2 linked regions of the Macaca fascicularis genome follow. Each later gene encodes a partner of the first gene's protein in a complex. Links are inferred from orthologs where the notes say so. Each region holds a gene or a part of one and is shown in the gene's direction. Other genes may lie near its edges.

What was found.
Region 2: the proteins of CCKAR (region 1) and CCK are in contact, whole or in part, in a cryo-EM structure (PDB 7MBX), measured with the Homo sapiens proteins. The link is inferred for Macaca fascicularis from reciprocal best matches to the Homo sapiens genes CCKAR and CCK. Residues at the interface, in NP_000721.1 of Homo sapiens: Cys94, Phe97, Asn98, Pro101, Asn102, Lys105, Asp106, Phe107, Thr118, Met121, Gly122, Val125, Tyr176, Phe185, Asn194, Met195, Cys196, Arg197, Phe198, His210, Leu213, Leu217, Ile329, Phe330, Ala332, Asn333, Arg336, Ala343, Glu344, Leu347; in NP_000720.1 of Homo sapiens: Asp96, Tyr97, Met98, Gly99, Trp100, Met101, Asp102, Phe103.

Annotation. Positions count from the first base shown.
Region 1 is NC_088379.1:25,621,653-25,625,805, reverse strand, and holds the start of CCKAR (cholecystokinin receptor type A), read left to right. Parts: upstream 1-1,353; 5' UTR 1,354-1,568; coding exon 1,569-1,947; intron 1,948-4,153. UniProt on the Homo sapiens protein: Receptor for cholecystokinin. Mediates pancreatic growth and enzyme secretion, smooth muscle contraction of the gall bladder and stomach. Has a 1000-fold higher affinity for CCK rather than for gastrin.
Region 2 is NC_088376.1:105,094,825-105,098,759, reverse strand, and holds the start of CCK (cholecystokinin), read left to right. Parts: upstream 1-1,135; 5' UTR 1,136-1,202; intron 1,203-1,320; exon of another isoform or gene 1,321-1,381; intron 1,382-2,242; 5' UTR 2,243-2,244; coding exon 2,245-2,458; intron 2,459-3,935. UniProt on the Homo sapiens protein: This peptide hormone induces gall bladder contraction and the release of pancreatic enzymes in the gut. Its function in the brain is not clear.

The DNA of each region.
Region 1 (4,153 bases):
ATCACGTCTCCCTGCTTCACTTCCTTCATAGTACTTACTACCTGAAATAATTCTGTTCATTATTTGCTGACATGATAGAAAAGTGCCTGGCAAATGATTGACTCTCAGTGAAGATGTGCTGAACGCAAGACTTCATGAATGACGAGGAAATCTTACTAACATCTTTTGTAATAAGGACCCAGGTACCTATGTTCAAAAGTACCTCAATCCTTCTAGTTAACAAGGGCAGAGACCACGAGAAATAACACTGTGTTTAGTAGCAACTTAACAACCAGCCAGCAGTTCTATCCACAGACACACACCACCGGGCATGGTTCCAGAACTAAAAAGGCACTAATTGCTTTTCTATAAGGAGGTAGAACACAGTCCCTCCGTGTTCTTTAGGCCTGATGGTCTGCATTATCGGATCTGTTACCGTGTTAATTGTTCCTGTCTCATACAGCCAGTTTGGGCTTTCTTCTGCACATGTCTTGGATGGTGACAGGTTCCTATATAGAGGAGTACTGGGGAAGCCTGTGTGTGTGTGTATGTGTCCGTGCGTGTGTACACATGTGTGTATAAAAGCAGCCACACTCTGAGAATGGTTAACAGGCAACCAGGCTGTCTGTGCTCAGGGCCCTAAGACTGGCCCAGGAAAGGGCCGGGGGGGTCGGGGGTGAAGGTGGAGCGGGCTTCGCTTGCGCTCACTGCCTTTTCCACAACAGGAGTGCAAATGCTTGCCCAGCTGGAGTGAGTGTGGTGAACTCAAGTCGCCTTTAGGAATGGCTGAAAAAGCCCACACCTGGAAATCACTCCCTCCCTGCTCCTCCACGGCAGGTTGCATTTGGGAGACGCTTCAGTCATTAGAGAAATGAGCCGGGAGTGAGCAATTCACCAGCTCTCCAGCACTTGGTGGAAAGCAGCAGGCAAGGATGGATGTGGTTGACAGCCTTCTTGTGAATGGAAGCAACATCACTCCTCCCTGCGAACTCGGGCTCGAAAATGAGACGCTTTTCTGCTTGGATCAGCCTCGTCCCTCCAAAGGTAAGTGTCGGAAGCTGTTATTTTAATCCAGGAAACTACTGAGTTGCGGGAGAAATCAGCAAAGGCAAGGCTGATAAAAAAATATACATAACCAAGTCATTGTGAGACAAGGCTGGATAAAGTCATATGTTCAGAAGTTTGCAGAAGAGATTAACAAGCAGAATAGAGTCAAATATTCTTATTGTCCCCCATGGGAGAGTTGGGCATTCATGAATAGGACTTGAGGGAACAAAAGCAGGGGAGGAAAAGCTGAGTGAAGCAAGAGGGAGTACAAGTGTCAAAGCCTGAACTTACAAGCACAGCAGAAAAGGTGTTGTCACCATGCAGCCGTTTTCTTTTCTTGGGGGGAAACCAGCGTGAAGTGGTTACAGTGAAATCATGCTTAGCAGCCAGGAAAGAAAGTGATCACTGTTCACTTGAGGAGCTTTGTTCTTAAGAAAAAGTGGTTCCCTGAGTGATCCTTTAACAAACCAACCTTCTACAAACAAAATAATTCAGTCTCTGCTTTCCTCAGTTTGTTTCTGCAAAATGTTGTCAGGACAGGAATGGTGGGTCCAGTGATGTACACCCCGGTGAGGGGGGAAATCGGCAGGAAATCACCCTTGGCTTCGGTTTTAGCATTCTGCTCTCATCACCTCCATCCCTCCGTCTTGCTCCTGTTGCTGTCTGCAGAGTGGCAGCCAGCGGTGCAGATTCTCTTGTACTCCTTGATATTCCTGCTCAGCGTGCTGGGAAACACGCTGGTCATCACCGTGCTGATTCGGAACAAGCGGATGCGGACGGTCACCAACATCTTCCTCCTCTCCCTGGCTGTCAGCGATCTCATGCTCTGCCTCTTCTGCATGCCGTTCAACCTCATCCCCAGTCTGCTCAAGGATTTCATCTTCGGGAGCGCCGTCTGCAAGACCACCACCTACTTCATGGGTAAGTTGCTGCTGGTGACTCTTTCTGGAGCTTGCCCCAGACCCCACTCAGCCCCAGACCTTCCCAAACCTCTGACAATCACAGCAGAAGACCTCTGCTGAGGGCTGAATCACAGAACATTAGGCTGTGCACGGCTGTGTGCAAGGACATTGCTGCTGACTTGACGGTCATCCTTATATGTTCCCCGTAAGTCGGTCCCCATCATCCACGTTGGAGGTCAGTTTCTAAGAGTGAAATATATTGATAGGAAAACACAGGGGCAGTTAATTTTGCCTGATTCTATTTGAAGGAAAGAGGGACTTGCTTCCTTCTGTTTGAAGTCAAAAGTGACTTTAAGCTGCTCTATCCCTTTCTGGAAGCTGTTGACTGTGTCCTGAGCTATACCCAACTTGAGTCCTGGCTTCTAGGGAGAGTAAGGATTATGGAGGAGGGTTCTTTGTCATTGTTCCTCTTGTTTTCTTAGGGAACAGGGGCTATTTGAAAACCAGTTCTATCACAGTTCCAGATTCTCTTGCCAGGATTCACTTCTCAGCCTGTTCTCCCCAAAGCTGGGACCATCTCTGGCAAAGGGAGAGAGGTCTCTGCCCCTAGATGAGGAGTTGAATTTGCTCCTGGGGGCTGTGGGGTCGCTAAGCTGACCCTGATTGGCTGAGATATGTAGCTGTTTGCCTATGCCAAACAAAAATGATGATAATGAAAATCACAAGAGCTAAATTTTTTGTGCTTTTATGCACCCCATGTGGTACTAAGTGCTTTGACTTTCATGATCTTACCTTACCTCCCAACCACTCTATGAAGTAAATGCAATGATTCTTCCTTGTCTCATTAAGGAGGAAACAGAGGCACAGAGAGGTTCATAATGTGCCTAAAGCCACACAGATGGTAAGCAACAGAGCTGAGATTTGAGTCCAGATTAGTAGCCACACAGTGGTGAGCATGCTACCTCAGTTTGCCAACTGCTGTGGTTCTCCTGGAGTTGAACAAAGACACATTTCTTGGTCCCCTCTGGGTGCCAGATTGCCTAGTCCCTTGCCCTTTCTGAGAATTAGTTGGGAGAGGGGCAGAGGTGGGAAATAAGCAGGGAGTTATTTTTGTTCTGACCCAAGCCTTGAAGAATATGCAGCAGTGAGCTGGGCTAGGGTAGTCTTCAATGACCGGAAGGCTTTAAAAGTCTTTGTTTTTCCCAGTTGAGGAAGTGGGATTCCGCACTGACAAAATGATGATGAATTTCTGACCCTCGTGCCACCAAAAACCAAGAATGTGTCAATCCGTGTCCAAGTCCTCTGAAAAAAAAAAAAAAAAAAGGACGAAACTTACAAAGGACAAAGATCATTGTTAAATAATGAAGCAATAATAATAACTAGTGCTGTAGACATCCAAGGCCCATCCATATATATCTTATGGTAATACTATTTGGGAACCTTAACCGGAGAATGTGAACCGAGGTTTAAAACGAGTGTTTTCATGGTGGCAAAACATTCTGAGTGCCACAAAGTTGTTCAGTTTGAAATGTTTAATTTTATGTTATGTAAATTTCAACAGCATAAAAACAATTTTATTGGCCAAAAGAAAAGAAACATCATTCTGAAAGTATTTGCAATACCATAATAATTTTGTTGGATTTTTAATTCCAATAATTTAGGTTCTTCTCTTAATTTTGCAGTCTCCTCAATACTAATAATTAACATTGATTAGCTCCTAATTTGTAGCAACAAGAAAAAGAATGCTTGCCTGCCAGTGAGTTTATAGTTACTGAGGATCCATTACACAGAACTGACTCTTAGAGAGTTTTGGGCTATACTCTCGACTCTAAATGTCATCAACTCTTTAGGGTAAAATCCAGTAAAACACAGCAAATCCTATCCCCAGAACATGAGTTTTTAGTTAATGGTTTGGGGGTCATAGACTTCTTTAAGACTCTAAGGAAAGCTAGAGCCAGGCTCCCTAGAAAAATGACGTTTTTGGATATAGTTTCAGAGAATTAGTTTATATCCATAAGAATAATGAGAAACTAAGGACCCCAGTTTCAGGACCTCTGCTCCCAAATTTATATTAATTCGGAGGTTTAAGAAATCTTGGTAAGAGATATTCAGAAGAATTGACAGAATTTATAGCGGAAGGACTCTACAGGGAATTTTAAGGGAATAATAGGACATTTTAATAAGTATGCATATACAAAAATAATAGAAATTTAGCTTTTTGGACA
Region 2 (3,935 bases), on another chromosome or scaffold:
AACTCAAGCGCCAGCAAGCCGATTCGAACTCAAAGGGCTTCAGGGTGTAGACGACCACCGCGCACTGAGGGACTACGGGTCGGCCCGCTCCGGAGCCAGGAGAGTAACCGCGCGCAGGGAAAGGCGCACTGCAGCCTTGGTGCCTCCCTTCCCTCCACCGGACGGGTGAGTGACGACGGGCGAGGTCCTCATCTCCTGGCTGCGCAGCTGAGTTCTGGCAGGTACGGTCCTAGGGGTGTGAGTGTGTGGGCCCTCCGGAAAGGTGGGAGGGGCGAATGCCGTGGTCTACCCAAGCTTGCAGGGGTGCGGTGGGCAAGTTCCCCAGGACCCTCGCTGGCGCCGCTTGTCGGCAGCTGGGAACAGTGGGCGCCGCGGGTGGCGGTAAGTTGGCCAGGGAAGGAAACACATCGCTTTCCCAAGCCGGATTCCTCTGAGCAAAGCCAGATGGTGTCATCCCCATTTTACAGCTGCGTAAAGAAAGTCCCAGAACACCAACAGCCAGCTGTGGCCGGAGCCCTTTCACTGACCCGGAACACTAGCTCTCAGAAACCTGGAGAACTGCGAGGGCTTTTAATGCGGCTGAGAAGAAAGTAAAGACCCCGACTCCTCTCCTTCGAAAGAGCCCACACAAGTATGAAGACCAGTGCCTCGGACGCTCCGGGGTAGGGGGGCCCACGCCCCATCCCTCTCAGAATCGCGCCTTACTGACGCTCAGTCCCGCCCAGTGTCCACCCCCCACCCCCGCCCCAGTTTCCTTTCTGGACCCTCCGGTCCCCAAAGCGAACTAAGCTAGCGGCAGCTTCTCCATCCCAGGGAAGACTCCAAACTCCTAGGTTTCCCACCTTGGAGAGCACTGCTCTGGAATGCGCAGGGGAGCGGCAGCTGGAAAGGGTTGGAAGGAAGCTTCTCGGACCCAGAGGGGGACAGACACCGGGCCCAGCCAGGGAGGGGTTAAATCCGCCCCACTGGACCACCTCCCCCTCTCCCCCAGGAGCCACTTCAACCGGTTGTCGTCCCAGTGGCCACCCTCTGAGCACGTGTTGCTGCCAGTCTGCGTCAGCGCTGGGTAAATACATGACTGGGCGACGCCGCCGGGCGGGGCTATTTAAGAGGCAGCCGCCCTCTGGTCCTCCCTGAACTTGGCTCAGCTGCCGGGCTGCTCCGGTTGGAAACGCCAAGCCAGCTGCGTTCTAATCCAAAAGGTAGGTCCCTCGGTTCGTCAGCGGGGGATCCAAGTGTCGTGTGTCTTTGAAGAATGCTGTCGTCAGCTTTGTGCCCATTTCCATTTTGCTTTTCTATTTTCTGTGTCTTTCCTCCGAGAGCTCGAAAGACATTTCTTGAAGTCAGAAACAACGGTTCCGGGTCTAAAAGTGAGGTCTGGGTAGGTAGAGCTGCTTTAGAGGCTTTCACGCGCCGGCATACCCATTCGCTAAGATTCGCATGCAGATTGAGATTTGCTAGCTGTTACACAGCGGTGCTGGGGACGTTGCAATATTTTCTAATAAAATACCAGAGGGTTTTAAGATTCAAATTCATTTTCTAAATACTGCAGAAAATTTCGAGGCTTTACGGATAGAAATGTGAGGGTGTTTTATCCACTAGCGATCTAAAATGCACGGGGCTTTGGAAGCCTGAGTGCTGGGCACCTATTTCTGATTTTAAAACCTGCCTATGTTTTGCGTAGTGGCTTATTGCCATTTCCCACCTACACTTTGAGAAAACTTTATAAATACGGCTTTATTTATTGCTCCTACATTTTAAACTGTGCTTCTCTTTTTCGTCATTTACTGTATTTCCATATTGAAAGCTTGTTAGCTATCTGGAAAGGTGCTTTCCCTAGGGTTCTCATTTCTCCCACGGAGTCTTCCCTTTAGGATATTTTTTTCACACTATTTTTAATCTCGTGGGGTTTTATTTTTCTTCTTTCAGTTAGAAGAGAGGCACTCTGCAAACACTTCCTCAAACTTTAGGGAAGCAGAAAACATTCCTTCTGCTCAACACGGCAAAAAACAGGGTCTCTGTCTGCCCCTCGGCACTGGGTGTGGAGTTCCCAAAGACCAGCCGTGTGCGCCCGGGGGCGCGCGCCATGGCACTCGACTTGAGCCCTCGTGCTTGTGGCGGCCTGGGGAGTCTGGAGCACCTGTGTTTGTCCTAAGCCGGTTTCTGGGTGCCCTGCCCGCCGCAGGAGCTCTCGGATGCCCAGCCTTTCCGTTAACGCCCCTTCCTCCTTTGCTCCCTACAGCCATGAACAGCGGCGTGCGCCTGTGCGTACTGATGGCGGTACTGGCGGCTGGCGCCCTGACGCAGCCGGTGCCTCCCGCAGAGCCCGCGGGCTCCGGGCTGCAGCGGGCAGAGGAGGCGCCCCGTAGGCAGCTGAGGGCAGTGCAGAGAACGGACGGGGAGTCCCGAGCGCACCTGGGCGCGCTGCTGGCAAGATACATCCAGCAGGCCAGGAAAGGTAAGAATGCTGCCTCCCCATCCCTCACTTCTGCCCTTGTTCCCAGGCTCTGGATGCTGACCCTCTTCTCTAGCGCCGGCCTAATGAAGATGACCTCTCTCGGTAGGAAACAAGCAACATGGTTTCTGGCCGTCCTTTGTAGCAATCTGAGAAGGGGTATGGAGGACTTAATTTATAAGTAAGGGGACCCTTCTTGAAAAGCTTTCTTTGAACTAATTTTTAGCAATGTTGCTGATTAAGTTCAACACCATTTTACCAAGCCATTAAAAGATAATTATTGAACCCTAGGAAAGGGTTCCTAGATACACTAAATACCCTCTACTAAAAACGCAAAGAACCTGGGAGCCACCCAGATACCAACCCTTGGAAATCCTCTAGCAGGAAGGCGTCAATGCTGAGAATGCCTGAGATCTGGCTACAACAGTTTAAGAAAGCAGTGACAATGTGTCCATCTCCACCAAACCATGTAACAGAAGGAAAGAATCAGCAGCAGTTTTGTGTTCTCCTTGCAATGACTTACACATGATTACCCAACAAGAGAGGTATTTGTTTTTACTTTACTGTCGCAGAGATGGTCACAGTTATAGCAAGAGCTGAGCAAGTCATTTTTCTCAGCATCAAAGTCTTTCTCCAGGAATAAGGTGATTCAGCCCCTCACTAGCTGAGTGGCATGCAGGCAGTCCTGACCTGAGGCTAGCTTTCCCCTAAGCTCCTTCCAATTCTTTGTGTGATTCAGAGGGAGGCCCATTCATCTCTTGTGACCCATAGGAATCATGCTTTGGATTGCGGCAGCTTTTTTCTGCCAACTTTATCCCCAGTGGCACTAATAATGAACACTGGCTGTGGAGGAGTGTGCTGAACAGTACAAACACAGCTGGACATTAAAATAATTCAGCAGGCCAGGAGCAGTGGCTCACGCTTGTAATCCCAGCACTTTGGGAGGCCGAGGCAGGTGGATCACATGAGGTCAGGAGTTCGAGACCAGCCTGATCAACATGATGAAACCCCATCTCTACTAAAAATACAAAATTAGCTGGTTATGATGGCACATGTTTGCAATCCCAGCTACATGGGAGGCTGAGGCGGGAGAGTAGCTTGAACCTGGGAGGTGGAGGTTGCAGTGAGCCGAGATTGCACCATTGCACTCTTACCCAACAGGTGTTCCAGGGCCTGGATTTGAACCTTAACCCCTGGCTTGACCAGAAAGGGATAAGATGAAGAGCTTTGGCTCTGCAGAGTTCTCCTGTGGGCTCACATGAAGGGAAGACTGGAACTCTTTGACCCAGAGGCTTCAGAAGGAAAGAACAAATCAGTGATTTGTTGTATTTCTTCCTGTCTTTGGGAAATTGCCCCACCCACTACCTTCTGTTTTGCTTTCCTACTAATTAAATTGAAGAAGATAGAAATACTTATCACATGGAGAGAGAAAGTCTGAAAGCTTTTGAGTTCCTGCTGATTTTCTGCCTGAAAATAATTT